2 linked regions of the Macaca fascicularis genome follow. The main gene of each other region encodes a partner of the protein of the gene in region 2 in a complex. Links are inferred from orthologs where the notes say so. Each region holds a gene or a part of one and is shown on either strand. Other genes may lie near its edges.

The links.
Region 1: the proteins of SIRT3 (region 2) and ACSS1 are in contact, whole or in part, in a crystal structure (PDB 3GLT), measured with the Homo sapiens proteins. The link is inferred for Macaca fascicularis from reciprocal best matches to the Homo sapiens genes SIRT3 and ACSS1. Residues at the interface, in NP_036371.1 of Homo sapiens: Gly145, Ala146, Gly147, Thr150, Pro151, Asp156, Phe157, Arg158, Ser159, Glu177, Phe180, Gln228, Asn229, Ile230, His248, Ile291, Val292, Phe293, Phe294, Gly295, Glu296, Pro297, Leu298, Gly319, Thr320, Ser321, Leu322, Glu323, Val324, Glu325; in NP_115890.2 of Homo sapiens: Ser640, Gly641, Lys642, Val643, Met644, Arg645.

Annotation. Positions count from the first base shown.
Region 1 is NC_088384.1:62,358,840-62,366,783, forward strand, and holds the start of ACSS1 (acetyl-coenzyme A synthetase 2-like, mitochondrial), read left to right. Parts: upstream 1-3,707; 5' UTR 3,708-3,744; coding exon 3,745-4,075; intron 4,076-7,944. UniProt on the Homo sapiens protein: Catalyzes the synthesis of acetyl-CoA from short-chain fatty acids. Acetate is the preferred substrate. Can also utilize propionate with a much lower affinity. Provides acetyl-CoA that is utilized mainly for oxidation under ketogenic conditions.
Region 2 is NC_088388.1:116,530-124,183, forward strand, and holds the start of SIRT3 (NAD-dependent protein deacetylase sirtuin-3, mitochondrial), read right to left. Parts: upstream 4,326-7,654; 5' UTR 4,290-4,325; coding exon of another isoform or gene 4,210-4,289; 5' UTR 4,087-4,209; coding exon 3,968-4,086; intron 3,656-3,967; exon of another isoform or gene 3,361-3,655; intron 883-3,360; coding exon 691-882; intron 580-690; coding exon 347-579; intron 1-346. Other genes in the region: PSMD13 (26S proteasome non-ATPase regulatory subunit 13), read left to right, coding at 4,454-4,548, 6,383-6,461.

The DNA of each region.
Region 1 (7,944 bases), on a different chromosome or scaffold from region 2:
GGTAACTCGGGCAGCAAGAAGTGCAGTTCTGCACCACCTGGTTGGTTCTGACATGTTTGGTTCTGAAATGATCACTTCTTCTTATCCAACCAGAAAGAATGAGGTAGTATTTATTTTAAAACAGAGTTAGTTGTATGTACTTTTTTTCATTGCAGTTGTAGAAGACCTTAGAAATGAAGGTAGTGGGAAGAAGGAGCCATCGCCGTGCACTCGCCACGGGGTGGCTGTCGGTGCTGGGCCCAGTCACAAGCAGCGTAGCTGGTGTCCCTTCTCTCACAGAGCTCCCTCCTGGTAGGAGGACTGGGAAGATAAACACAGAGCTAATAAGTAAGAGCCATGGAGAAAAATCAAGTCAGGGGTTAGGACTAGGGAATGAGGGCAGAGATACAACTTTATGTAGGTGACAGGGAAGGAAGGGCTCTTGGATGGAATGGATGTTTGAAGACACCTGAAGGAGGTGAGGGGGAGTCTCTGTGGACATCTGGGTGGAGCATTCCAGGCAGAAGGGACAGCGTGTGGCGGTCATGAGGTGGAAGCCTGCCTGGTGATGGGAAGGACAGGAGGAGGCCAATGTGCTGGAGCCCCAATGAGTGAGGGAGAGCAGAGGAAGAGGGGACGCTGGCTCAGGGAGGGCAGCGCTTCTCTAACTTGAATGCACATGCAGCTCCCCTGGGGGCTTAAGATGCAGATTCTGAAGCAGCAGGTCTGAGATGGAGCCTGGCATTCTGCATTTCTGCAGTGTCCAAGTGATGCTGCTGGCCCATGGACCACACATTGAGTAGTAAGGCTATAGCCTGTGGGCCAGGGAATGATGTGGCCTTTGTTTTAAGGAGACTGGGGAGCCCTTGGATTGCTCTAAGCTCCAGAGCAAGTTCCTCTGACTTTTGTTGAAAAGGAATTGCACTGCTGCTGGTTAGGCTGTCAGGGACAAGGGTGAAAGCAATTTGAAGCCTACTGAATAATCCTAAGAAGAGATGGGTGTGGTTGGGATGGTGGCAGGAGAGGATGGTGATGGGGGAAGAGGTTAGTGCTGCAGGTGTTCTGAAGGTGAGCCACAGGATTTGCTGACAGGCTGCACGTGGAGTGTGAGGGGGAGGAATCTAGGATGAAAAGGGTATGAGCCCAAACAGCAGGAAAATGCCATTTCCATTCACTGACACAGAAGATCCATGTTGGGGGGAAGAATCCCAGGACTTGGTATGTTTCAGATGTGAATGAGACATTTGAATACAGGACTGAGATGTGGAGGAAAGGTCCAGGCGGGAGGTGTCAATATGAAAGTCAGAGATTAGAGAGCTGGTTGCTGTTTCCTAGGGGGCAGGGGAGAAAGGGGGATTTGAGGGCTGAGCGCCTGGGCACTTCAACACTTGGAGGGCAGAGAGAGGAAAGGCACCCAGTACAGGGCACTGAGAGGCAGAAGTCAGTGAGTGAAAGAACCATGCATTTTTCAGCTTCAATTGTTGTATCAGTTACCTACTACTGAGTTACAAACCACCCCAAAGTTTAGTGGCTTAAAACAACAATGTATTCCTTCTACAATTCTGTAAGTGGACTGGGAGGTTCCTTTGCATCCCGGGCGTTATCTGGGGTGACTCATGAGGCTGCCTTGGCTGGGGCGGGAGCCTCCACACTGGCCTCGTTCCTGTCTGGGATTTGGTCCTGGCTGTGCATGGGGCAGCTTTATTCTCTCCCTTGGCCCCTTCCTCTGGAAGGCCAGCCCTGCTTCCTCACAGCTCGCAGCTGGGTTCCATGGGAGGACAAGCTGGGGCTGCAGGGTCTCTCAGGGCCTCCAGGTGGAACTGTCAGAGCATCCCTCCCACCAGGTTGTACTGGCCAAAGCAATACAGCCAGCCAGGGTCCTCCTCTGGACAGAGCAGCGCGCCATCACATGCAGGTATGGGAAGGAAGAGTTGGTAGCCATCTATGTGACCACCTGCTACAGTTAAGAGCTTTCTCAATTTACAATTTTACTACTCACTGACCTCTGCCTCTCAGTGCCCTATACTGGGTGTCTTTAATATTCTATTCAAATGGGAACTTAGGCCAAAGAGCTCCCCACTGGGGGCACTGGGTATTAGTCTTGCTCTTCCCTTAGCCAGTCGAATGCTCTTTAGTAAGCCCTTTTATTTGTTTGGGTTCAGTTTCCTCATTTGTTCCACCTGGAGTTTGACAGTCGGTGGGGGGTGGACAGCACTAGATAAGTTTTAAATTAAGTAGACTAGCCGGGTGTCGTGGCACACGCTTGTAGTTCCATATACTCAGGAGGCTGAGTCAGGAGGATCGCTTGAGCTCAGGAGTTCCAGGCTGTAGTGAGCTATGATGGGAACCACTGCACTCCAGCCTGGGCTACAGACCCTATCTCTAAAAAAGTATCATAAATAAATAAACAAAGGAGAAAATGCAGGTCAAGTGCGAGCACTGTGCAGGGCATGTGTTATGCTAGTAGATGTCACTGATTCTCCAGCCCTTAGGTACATTCCTGTCTTCTCTGGCAGACAGCAGCATTCCCCAGCAGGGGCTGGTGGCTGGCCCACGCAGAGGCTCCTCTAATGGCAGGCTCCTCCCCTCTGCAAGCCCTACAGCTCAAGGGAAAGAAACTTTAACATCAGAAAGAACTCAAGAAACCAGTTTTCCAAAACCTCTCTTCCCCTATGTTTACCCCTTTGTTATGAATTTACTTCTTGGGTGTCGAAATATTTAAGAACTCGGTGGAGACCAGTTTTATACGTTTCCTTCTGTCCTTCCTGGCTCCACAGCTGCAAAAACATCACCCCCACTACTGAGCTTACTATGGGGCCACGCAAGGGTAGATGCTTGACAGACATTGTCTGATGTATTCCTTACTGCAGCTCCCCACCCCCGCCGTCCCCGTCCCCCAGGGAGGCATTACTTCCGTTTTCCCCAAAAGGAAAACAAGGCACCGACAAGTTACGGAACTTGCTCAAGGTCACAGAATTTGAACTCAGGCCACAGATGCTGGAGCAACTGGATAAAGTCCTCATCGCCCCATATCACCCACCACCGACCCCCAGCAGAACGTGACCCCCGCCAGGACGGAGGCCGGCAGCTGGGGGGCTGGAGCATGGGACCCCAGACCACGGACTCAGGCCTGCGCAGCCTCCCGGCGTCTGGGCTCCCCGCCAACCTCCTTCGCATTCCGCTGAGAAGCCAGGGGAGGGGTTCACTCTCCGGGGCGCACAAAGGCATGAAAACCTTACTTCAGCCTCTGAGATGCGGAACTGACCGACCTATCGTCTTGGGACCCAACAGTGCGCTTGGGTGCACCAGCCCTCTTAACGTTGGTGCCGGCTCCCTCCCGCCTCCTTCCCATCCCAGAGGGCCCCCTAGTCCTGGGCCGCACGTGCCTCTGGCAGCTCGAAGAAGCTGTCGGGGCTTGCAGGAGAGCGCGCAAACTGAAACCAAAACAGGCCGACGCGAGGAACGTCCGGGGGGGACTGCAGACCCGCGGGAGCACAGCGCCTGGGCCAGGGCCTGGGAGCCTGGGCTCCGCCCCGCGCTCCTCTGCACCCCTTCTCCACGCTGCTCCACTCTTCCTAAGCGTCCCCCCCTCTCCCGGGCAGCAGAAGAAGGGGTGGGACCCGGGCGGGCTCTGGGAAGGGGCCCTGGAGGAATGGATGGTGGCCGAAGGGCGGAGCAGGGGCGGGGCCCGCGGAGACTCCAAGGGGCGCCCCGGGCGTGAGGCACCCACTCTGGAAGCACAGAGAACTCAGGTAGTCCGGCTAGATGGCGGCGCGCAGCCTGGGCCGCGGCGTCGGGAGGCTGCTGGGCAGCCTGCGAGGGCTCTCGGGGCAGCCCGCGCGGCCGCTGTGTCGGGTGAGCGCGCCGCGCAGGGCGGCCTCGGGACCCTCGGGCAGCGCCCCCGCAGTTGCCGCAGCCTCACAGCCCGGCTCGTACCCCGCGCTGAGTGCACAGGCAGCCCGGGAGCCGGCCGCCTTCTGGGGGCCTCTGGCGCGGGACACTCTACTGTGGGACACCCCCTACCACACCGTCTGGGACTGCGACTTCAGCACTGGCAAGATCGGCTGGTTCCTGGGAGGCCAGTTAAACGTCTCTGGTGAGTGGGCTTCGGGAGACCCAGGTCGCCCCCAACTCTTGCGTCCAGAGGGAACTCGGAGCCTCTCGCCTGCGGCAGCCGTCCCCCGGCTGCGCGGATCGCACCCCTGCAGGGGCCCCTCCTCCGGTATTCCGTCCGCCCCGCCAGCTCTAAGCAGTGGCTCCACGTCACCCCGTCCCTCATCCCATCCGGCCCCAGATCCACGTGCCCAGCTCGGGCCGGTGCCCGCGGGGACCCGGTGGCCGCTTGGGACGCCCCGCTGCTGGTCTTGCTCGGCGCGGCTCCTCGCTCTGCTGACTCCGGAGTTGCGTTACCGAGTGCATAGCGCCGCGGAGCCAGAGCCGGCGGGGAGCCGCGGGCTACACCCGAGCGCCCTGGAGTCGGGACTTTCCCGTTGCTATACCGGGGTGGACGGAAAAACAAAGCGGTGGCGGTTGTCACTGGGGGCTGCGGTGCCCGGGGATCAGCCTGAGGACAAGCCCTGCCCACATAAACAAACAGAGCTGTGGCGGGCGACCTGGGGAGGAGGAAACCCGGCGTGGCAGCTGGAACCAGTTATTTCCTCGCTGCGGGCCTGGGGCCTGTGGGCGGGAAGGAAGTAACAGCGGCCTCCGGGTTCTCGTTCTCGGCCTCAGAGAACTGCACCCCAGCGACCCAAGGCCTGCTTTGGACCCGCGGGGTCTGAGGTTCCCGGTGGTCAGTGGTCTGAAACTTACTGAGCAGAGGCCTCTGCTGCTCTGCTAAGATTTGGGGCTGGGGGTCGTACACTGCACCCTCGCCCCCACCTAAGGCGCTGACTGGGCAGCGAGGGGGAAGCCCTGAACTGCAGGCAGGGCTGGCCACGCAGGGTGGGTGCCAAGTGCAGGGTGGGCCCTGGATGCAGGGTGGGCCTGGGTGTGGGGCCTGCAGGGAGGGCCTGGCAGACACGGTGTTGATCAGAGGGATGCAGGCCAGAAGAGTGGCCATAACCAGCTTGCTGGATTTGGGAGTGTTTGAGAAAGGACTTGAGGGTCTTTATGGCAGGGTCACCAGGACCCCATTTTCTCCAGCTCCTCCCTCAGTTATCCCTGTTGTTCTGCCCCGCTAGCCCTCAGTGTCCACATTGTGAGGAGGGGGGCAGTCATGCTCAGAGGTTAGGCTGAGTGCTGCAAGGTATGCAGCAGACCCAGCTCTTACTGGTGACCCACAGGCAGTAGCGATTTTAGTTTAACTTCAGATATAGCCATACAGTTGTAGGTAGTGTCTTGTAGTTAGTTTTCAAAGAAATTGAAAGGAACTTTGGACCTCCCCCCGATATTGTATATTACTTTGCTGGTTTAATTAAAATGAGTCACTTACTAGATAAGTGTTTTCTTTAACCTTGAGTCAGCAGCAAGTGCCCTCTAACTACTGGGAAAAAAACCAAACCCTTTGGTTTGCAGAGTTGGTGCGATGTGCCCTTGAAGGGGACTAGAGCAGCTTGCCCAAGGACAGAAATGGAAAGTGACCTGCTCTGGACTTGTGAGGCCAAGGTCATGGGGAACATTCACAGTTGGCCTGTGCACAGTTGCAGCCCCACTCAGATAAGACAGCGGGGCGGACCTCCTGGGGCCAACAGCAAGGACCTTCTGAACCTCGCTGGGTCAGGATCAGGGTGTGGTCAGCAAGCATTCTTCTGTCTCCTTTTCCTTCACTTATTTCTCCTGATAATATGGCCTTTACGGCTACCTTAGCCAGAAATTGAGCTTCAGAAAACTAACTTGAAAAACAGCTTTTCAGCAACTTTCTCCCCGGGATGTGCGTGCCCACCTGTTCATGGGTCAGCAATATCTCTTTCCTTTGTCGGTGTCTGCAAACCATAGTGGGGACAGTATGAAAAAGGGCCAGGCCAGGCCATGACTCCTCTGGGAGCCCCTAGAAAGTCATGGGATAGGTGAGAACACTTTGGCCTGATCTGTCAGCTGTGTGTGATAAAGTCAGATGGCTTGTTCCAAAGGAATATCACTCTTGAAGAAAACTTCACCTCACTCCTTCAAGAATACCAGTGGTTCTCAACGCATGGTCCTCAGACCAGCAGCATCAGCATTACCTGAGAACTTTTGAGAAACAGAAATTCTGGAGCCCATCCTGGATATCTGGAATCAGAAACCCTGGGTGGGACCTGACACCTGTGTTTATAACGAGCCCTTCAGGTGCTCTAGAGGACACTCGGGCTTGAGAACCACTGGTCTGTACGCCTCAAAACGGGGCAGATGAAGGCACTTCTGAAACAGAATTGGGATTAGTGCCCGGCCATGGCCCTGTTAAACAAAGAGCAAACAAACAATGGGCTGTGGATGGTGCAACACCGTTTTGTGGCTCCAGGTGTCTTTAGAATCAGGACTCGGGTTGATTTCTTGCTTTCCCTGTACTGCACTTTGCATGTTTCCTCATCTGTAAAACAAGGGCAGTATGTAACTGAATTATGTCCTAGTTACTATCGATGCACATCAAACCACCCCTAAGCTTAGTGGTACAAGATAACAACAATTTTATATTCCTCGCAGTCTGTGGGTCAGAACTTTGGACAGGGCCAGATGGGGATGACTTGTGTCAAAGGGCAAAATTCCGACAAATTTAGTTTAAAGATCTTAATTCACTTTTTTCGTGATTATAGAATTGGGAAACACCTAATTCCATAAAACAGAATGAATGTTTGATGAGTTGAGCAGAGGAGGATGGTTTTATAGACAGAAGGGTCTGAAGTATGCGGACACGGAGAACAAAAAGTGGACTGGCTATTTCAAAGCTACTTTTGCTGTAAAGGTGAAAGTGGAAGGAGCTCCCTTACTATGCCAGCTTGTTTGGAGATCGAGCTATCTCTCACTCTCCTTGTTTCTTAGAAGGCTAGATAAACCACTTAGTTTCCATTTGGTGACACGGCACTTTAGCAAGAGTGACTCCATTTTTGTGTGATCTATTGGGCCTGATGCGGCTCAGTCCAGACCAGTGGCCTCCTATACATTTTATTTAACACTTGCTTCTGCTCCTCAATGTCTGAGGTTGTAGTCATCTGCCTGTTTCTCACTCCCAAGTCTGGGGCCTGGTTTGGGACAACTTGCAGGCTGACTTCAGCCAGACCTGTGACCCAAAGCACCTCCTGGGGCTTGTCACAGCGTGGTGGCTGGGCCCAGGCAATGTCCGGCAACCAGAGGTCCAAGAGACCAGCACAGACACTATTAGGCATCTTCTGACCTGGGGAAGGGGACCTGACTGTTTGCACCTGTTTTGTTATCCATCGGAGTATCTATCAGCACACATACCCCAGGGCTGTTAGAATGAAATAAGAAAACGCTTGTAAGGCACTCAGCACTTTCTTAACACATTATACATCCCCAATCACTGGCCATTTGTTATTTATTAATGAAGCATGTGGGGAGGCTGTGACCTTGTGCTTGGCCTTCAGCAGTGCTGCTGAGAGAGCTGAGCTTCATTTGAACTGGACCACTTGAGCTTGCATCTGATTAGCCTGGGATAGGTGGGGAGTAGGCTTCGGAGAGCATGCAGGTGGCTGAGGTGGCTTTCAAAACACCACAGTATCCTGCTCATCCCGCAACTCCAATAGCCAGACGAGGTTATGGTGTCTGAGGCCCACTGGGCAGGGTAGACAGAGTGTCTGTGCCCTTCTGTGACTTGCTTCTGTTGTGTAAAACTGCCTTGCAGAAGGTTCTTTGGAGAGCCAGGTTCTAAAAGGGATTCTTTCCCACCTGTGAAATTTGGCTCTGTCCTTTGCAGGGCTCTGCAGCTGTTTTTGCCCCGTGGCATATCAACTCAAGATATCAGGAAGTTGTAAATGCAGAACCAGAGGGTAATGACATGTGTTACTTTCAAAACACACAGCTAAGCTCTAT
Region 2 (7,654 bases):
GTGATGAGGACAGGACGGTTCGTTACATTTTTCTCTTTGCGTGTGCTCAAAAAAATTCCATAATACAATTTTTAAAAGAGAGAAGAAAAAAGAGAGATCATCACACCAGATTGGCAAAACAATGTCAACTTCTGCCCAAAATACACAGCTCTGCAGGTATGTAGGAGAACAAGCAGTGGCCTTTAAACACCCAGAGACATTTTCCTTGGGAACAAAGCCCTAACTAGTTGGCTCAAAAACAGTCCCAAGGAAGAAGCACAAACACCAGGCTTCGGCCGTCCCCAGAAACAGGCACCTGAGCCTTCCCTGTGAGAAAAAGAATGTGTGCGACTCACAGAGGGCTCACCTCTCTCAAGCCCATCGATGTTCTGCGTGTAGAGCCGCAGAAGCAGCCCCTTGTCATGAAGCAGCCGGAGGAAGTAGTGAGTGATGTTGGGCTTATAGTTTCCAGGGTACAGCTCCTTGGCCAAAGTGAAAAAGGGCTTGGGGTTGTGAAAGAAGAATGGGAGTTCGAAAATGGCCTCGGGGTACGGGAGATCGTACTGCTGGAGGTTGCTGTACAGGCCACTCCCTGGAGATCTGCAGGGAGAGAAGACAGAGGCTCTGAGGCCTTTGCAAGAAACCGGGCAGTGGGGAGGGCAGGAGGCAGGGGAGGGGAGTGCAGAAGGCAGGTGGGACTGCGGGCAGTACCTGAAGTCTGGAATGCCACTGGGTGTGCTGATGCCGGCTCCCACCATGGCCACCACCCTCTGGCAGGCTCTGGCCCGAATCAGCTCAGCTACATCCTGCAGGGAAAGCTTCCCCTTGTCACTGTCGCCTCCACTTCCAACAACACTTGAAGCACCCACAGAAAAAGATATAGGCCTTCTTCCACCTTTAATACTGACAGAAAAAAACACAGCAGCAAAGGAAACAGATAGCGACCAGTCTCAGGATAGCAAGAAAGCATGGTTCTGCCCTCTGCACCACCCCCACCATCCAGAATGACCATGTATGTCCTCCCAGGCCTCTCAAAATAATCACCTTTCTCAGATGACTAGTGGGCTACAACGGAAAGCAGTCATAAATCAGAATCAAGACTTATTTGGGAGCAAAAATTTCAGGTTAATGGGAACTGTGCTCATTTCATAATTCAGTACACTCAGTAGGCACTCAACTCTCTGAGTGCAAACCTCCAAAGGGGTTTTCTTTTTTTTTTTTTTTTTTTTTTTTTGACACGGAGTCTTGCTCTGTGCCCCAGGCTGGAGTGCAGTGGCGCGATCTCGGCTCACTGCAAGCTCCGCTCCCCCGGGTTCACGCCATTCTCCTGCCTCAGCCTCCCGAGTAGCTGGGACTACAGGCGCCCGCCACCTCGCCCGGCTAATTTTCTTGTATTTTTAGTAGAGACGGGGTTTCACCGTGTTAGCCAGGATGGTCTCGATCTCCTGACCTCATTATCCGCCCGTCTCGGCCTCCCAAAGTGCTGGGATTACAGGCGTGAGCCACCGCGCCCGGCCCCAAAGGGGTTTTCTAATGAAAACTCGTCAAGTAGTCGAGAAGCAAAGAGGGAAAACCCTGGCTCTAAAACCATCTCACCACCTATTAAACGCCCCATTTCAGACATTTATTAACTTAAAGTCATTCCTCAAATAGCTACTGTGCTGCTACTAAACATGAACTGTTAAGAGAAGCATAAAGGAATGAAAGTTATTATGGCTGTTGAGTGCCTGCTGAGGCCAAGGTATCCCGAAGGGTGCCTGAGTACATTCCTCATCTACGTAAATAAAATGTTTGTGAGTCACTGAATAACATATAAACGGCATTTTACCAAATGTCTGGAACATCAGATGTATGGCTTAAAGTATATGCTGCATGGTGTGAAATTCACTGGGAGTGGGGGACCCTGAGGGGCAGGCATGGGGGCAACCTGGGAGGGACACTGTGCAAAGGACACAAAGAACAAATTCAGAGAGCTCCAAAATCCAAAGCCAAACTGCAGAAAGCCCATGCAATGGACTCCTCATAGGGAGCCCGGTGCCTCCTGCTTTAGGGCCAGTGGTAGCAAGGATTTGTTTAACAGTCTTGCAGAGTATCACTGATATTAGAATGCGCTCCATGTGTTTGTCGGTCCTGGTCCCCGCTCCATCCATAGCACCTAGAACAGAGTCTGGCACAGAACAAGAGCTCAGTCAGGGCTTCTTGGATGAATGACTGACTCTTCAGGATCTTTTGTTTGAGATGGAGTTTTGCTCTTTCGCCTGGGCTGGAGTGCAATGGTGCAATCTCAGCTCACTGCAACCTCCACCTTCCGGGTTCAGGTGATTCTCCTGCCTCCGCCTCCTGAGTAGCTGGGATTACAGGCGCCCACCACCACCCCCAGCTAATTTTTGTAATTTTAGTAGAAACGGGGTTTCACCATGTTGGCCAGGCTAGTCTCGAACTCCTGACCTCGTTATCCACTTGCCTCATCCTCCCAAAGTGCTGGGATTACAGGCATGAGCCACCATGCCCAGCCGACATTTCAGGATCTATTAAACTTTTTTTTTCTTTTTTTTCCCAGGTAGATAAGAGTCTTGCTCTGTCACCCAGGCTGGAGTGCAGTGACTCAATCATAGCTCACTGCAGCCTTGAACTCTTGGACTCAAGGGATCCTCTTGCCTTAGTCTCAGAAGTAACTGGGACAACAGGCTTGCGCCACCATGCCCGGCTAATTTTTAAATTTTTTGTAGAGATGGAGGTCTCATTATGTTGCCCAGGCTGGTCTTGAACTCCTGGCCTCAAGCTATCGCCCTGTCTCAGCCTCCGAAAGTGCTGGTATTACAAGGGTGAGCTACCACTTCAAGCCTCACTTTTCACCAATATTTTCAGCAGTGTGTCAGACAGCATCAAGTCAATGTACCATTATTTACTTAAATATTCATCCATCATAGGGCATTTGATACCTAACAACCATGGACCTTAAGATTTTTTCCTATGTAGGCTCAGCTCTTAGATGCAATTACTATGGAGACGGGTATGATCACATGGGGTGGGAGCATTAACCGCACAACATTTATGAGGGATAATTAAAGCGTTAAATGCATATACTTTTGGACCTAGCAGTCCCAGTACTAGGAATTTATGCAAAAAGTGAGGTGCAAACAAGGTTATTCACCACAGCATGATGTAAGTAACTAAAGGTTAGAAGATATTTCAATGGGGGAATGGTGAACTAAACGACAAAACCCCGTAAAGGACGTCCACAGATCAGCGTAAAGACGGGCGGGTGTTGGAACGGAAGTAACTCCCAGACATGCCTCAAAGGAAACACCGCAAGGTGAGAAAGGGGGGCGAGGTGTAGACAACGAACACGCAAGAAGTGCTTGTCCTTGCCCAAAATACCTCGAAAAGAAGAAACCGGGAGCTGCTGCCCTCGGCTGCCTCCGGAATGCCCTGGGCACCGCGGGTCTGGGAGGCCTCTGCAAGGGGCGCGCCGAGTCCAAGGGCTCACCGCGGACCCCGCGGCTGCCTCTCGGTCCCGCACTGACATCGTCCCTGCCGCCAAGCACCAGCCGACAGCTCCAGGCCTGGAACGGCCCCACGTCTCCCCCGGCCTCGGCCCGTTCAGCTACCCGGCCCCACACCCGGACGGCTGCCACGGCGCGCCAACCCCAGAACGCCGTGTTCCCCGCAGCCTGAGGAGTCCTCCGGACTCGCCCCGCCTCCGCCTCCCGGCCCCGCCTCCGCCTCCCGGCCCCGCCTCCGCCTCCCGGCCCCGCCTCCGCCTCCCGGCCCCGCCTCCGCCTCCCGGCCCCGCCTCCGCCTCCCGGCCCCGCCTCCGCCTCCCGGCCCCGCCTCCGCCTCCCGGCCCCGCCTCCCGGCCCCGCCTCCCGGCCCCGCCTCCCGGCCCCGCCTCCGCCTCCCGGCCCCGCCTCCGTGTCCACGCCTCCGGCGCGACCTGGTAGACGCTGAGGCCGAGTAGAGGAAGTTCCCTAGTCTGGTGTCTGACCTCTCGCCCAGGAGGTCAAACCTGGAGCCAGCATTTCTGTACCCTGCGCTCACACCTTTTTCAACCCGGATGGCGGTGACAGTTAATACTTTCTGAGCGCTTTTACTATGGTCAGGCATTATATTTACACCTAGTCCTCGCAAGACCCTACTGGGAAGGTCATTTGAGAGCAGCAATTCCGGGTCACAAAGGCTGACACCACAAAGCTAGTCCATGGCCGGTTCGACCACAGGCACCCATACTTTTTAAGCCTCAGTGGCACAACCAGGTGCGCGGGAAGCGGGCTGCAAACGCCGGAGAGTTTTGTTCCGAGCGCAGACATGCGCGGTTACCGGGCAACCAGCGGGCCCCGCCCCCCGGCCGGCTACGGCGCTCCCAGCCTGCCCCGCGCCGCGCGGCGCCGGAAGTGAGTGAGCATTTCCGGCAGACATCCCCGCGGGGCTGACATCCCGGTTGTTCTTCTGTGCCGGGGGTCTTCCTGCTGTCATGAAGGACGTACCGGGCTTCCTACAGCAGAGCCAGAGCTCCGGGCCCGGACAGCCCGCTGTGTGGCACCGTCTGGAGGAACTCTACACGAAGAAGTAAGCTCCGAGCAGACAGACGGGCCCTGGGCCCCGGCGATAGAGGGAGACGGAGGGGGCGGGCGGGCGGAGAGGCGGGCCCTTGATGGGCTGAGGGCGCCCAGACCCAAGTTGCGGGGAAACGGGGACGTGTAGCGACTGGCTGTGCCGGCAGGGTTTGCTGAGGAACCCCGAGTGGCAGGGTCGAGGAATAAGAAGGATGACAGACCACGAGGGCCAAGAGCTGTAGCCAGGGATGTTTGGGTCTGAGATTCAGTGCTTCCCTAACGAGGGACTGTGACTGAGGCTTCTGAACTCGTCTACCTCGGGTCTTACTAAGACGGTTCAGGGGAAGCCTTTGCTTTTAGCTCTGTATTCCAGCGAAACAAGCAAACACACTTTCAGAACCAGATTGCCACCCACTTTGAGAAACAGATCTTGGTGATTCGCGCTTAGCCTTGGCATGGTGTAACTGTATCCACAGTTATCTTTCTCATGGTCTGGAGTTGATAAACCAGAGGCTAGTGCAGCTTTGCTCTCTTCCCTATTCATTCTGCAACTGGTTGCACCCCGTCCCATTGTCTTTACCTTCCATTGTATTTCTCGCTGGGCTGTGTGCCCCTAGAAAGATCTTAAAGTTTAAGTTTGTTTAGAAACAGGATGAATTGCAGAGCCATTAAATTGTTGCTAAGCACTAATCTCCTTTTAAAATGATAGGATAAATTGCTGGCATTGGGCTGGAGCTATTCCATAGAAAATACATCTCCTGTAGTAACCTCCCTGTTAACCCTAGCATTTAATATAATACCTTTCACATAGATGTTCCATACATGTTTTGATGATGTTTAGCATTCAGCAGCCTTCTGCTATTAGCAGTTTTTGAGAGCAAATTAATGTTTGGCAAATAATGGTTTGTGTTGGATAGCACTTGGTAATTTTCAAAGCATTTCATATGCGTTATTAAATATTAGCCTTTAGGTTTTGGATGAAGCGCTATTTAATCCTTTATTCATCCTTTTCACAGAGGAGGAAACTGAAGCTCGTTTTAATTGTCTTCCCTGAGATACTAGCTAATAGGTAGAAGAGCCAGAATCTCAAGGTAGATATGTATGATTCCAAAGTTCTCGTTTCCAATCAAACCTCACAGTAACCCTCTGAGGTAATCTAGAATAATGTTCTCCATTTCATACCTGGGAAAACTGAGTCTTAGAGAGAAGTTAAGTGATCTTAAAGTGACATAGCCATTCAACAGCAGAGCCAGGAAAAGAACTCAGGTTTATCGCATCTGCTTTAGCATTCTTTCTACTACACAGTAGACACTGGTTAGTATGGATTTAGCATCTCTTACCAGAAATGCATTGGGGCGGCGGGGCACGGTGGCTCATGCCTGTAATCTCAGCTACTCGGGAGGCTGAGGCAGGAGAATCACTTGAACCTGGGAGGCAGAGGTTGCAGTGAGCCAAGATGGTGCCACCGCACTACAGCCTGGGCAACAGAGTGAGACTCTGTCTCAAAAAAAAAAAAAAAAAAAAAAAAAGAAAGAAGAAGAAAGAAATGCATTGGGGCAAAAGTTTTTTGGATTTAGTATTTTTTCGGATTTTGAAATATTTTCGATATGTGCTTACCCATTCAGTATCCATGAATCAAAAATCTGAAATCTGAGATGCTCCAATGGTCGTTTCCTTTGAGCCTTACGTTGGTGCTCAGAAAGTTTTGGATTTTGGAGCATTTTGAATTTTGGAGTTTTGGATTAGAGATACCCAACCTATATTTGTGACTTGATAGGATCATCAAGGCTGAAGGTGTCTGTGACTGGATATTAGGTTAGAGGTCTTAAGGGCTGTATGTTTTTCAGGTTGTGGCATCAGCTGACACTTCAGGTGCTTGATTTTGTGCAGGATCCGTGCTTTGCCCAAGGAGATGGTCTCATTAAGGTAAATAATTTGCGATACCAGGTCAGATTATATGAATGTGCTCAAGGACTTTTTAAAATAAGATGGGCTTTTTGCTAATAATAATAATAATAAGCTACAATTCTTCAGAAGTCCCTTTATGTCAGGTACTGGTCTGAGTGCTTTACACGTCCTTCCTAACGACGCTGCTCAGTAGATACTACTTTCATCTCACTTTTTTGATGTAGAAGCAAACGTAAGACTTTAAGTAACTTACTATAGGTCACTGCTAATAAGTGGCAGAAGAGGATTCAAACACTAACATTCTGGCTTTTTCTAAAATTCTGGCATAAAGTACTATCTTAAAACATGCCTGAGTATCTTAGTTCATAGGCTTCTTTTTAGTACTCTATTTTTAGAAAACTGTTATTAGATACAAAGTTCAAACCCAGTTAGAGGGTGGAGTAAGGTGTGAGGAAGATTACTATCTGTGGGAATCTTAGATAACTTCCATCACTCCCCTTCTTTAAGCCACACTGACTGCTTTCCCAGACACTTCTGTCCTGGGTAGTGTGGAAGATAAAGCACCTTTTGTACTTCGGTTGAGGGTAGGTGGGTTGGAGGGAGAGTTCTGAATAGTGTCATGCTGCCTCTGTAATAGAGGACTTCTAGAATTTTTTCAACAGTTTAAAAAAACGCAGTTTCTTTCCTAGCCTTCCCCAGATCCCCTGACACATCCCCACAAATTTGCTCACTGGTAGCCTCCTCTTTGAAGTTTTTCCTGACATCTTACTCTCATTCTGAATGAAACAGAGATTCACACCAGCATTGTAACTGATAGCTTATAATTACAGCTTGAGTCATTTCTCCGGAATACATTACTTTTATATGCTCACAACAGAGCTTACCACCTTACTACCCCACCACCTGGGCTTGTAAGATTTTCTTGTGGTTTATAGCCATCAATTTGACATTTTACTATTTAGAGGAACTTAAAATCATCTGTAAGCCTGGAGATTTTGCTGAACATTCAGTCTTCTGGATTATGTGGGAAAATGATAAATGAGACCTGCCTTTTTTTTTTTTTTTCTTTTTGAGACGGAGTTTCGCTCCTGTTGCCCGGGCTGGAGTGCAATGGTGCGATCTTGGCTCACTGCAACTTCCACCTCCCGAGTTCAAGCGATTCTTCTGCCTCAGCCTCCCAAGTAGCTGGGATTACAGGTGCCCACCACCAC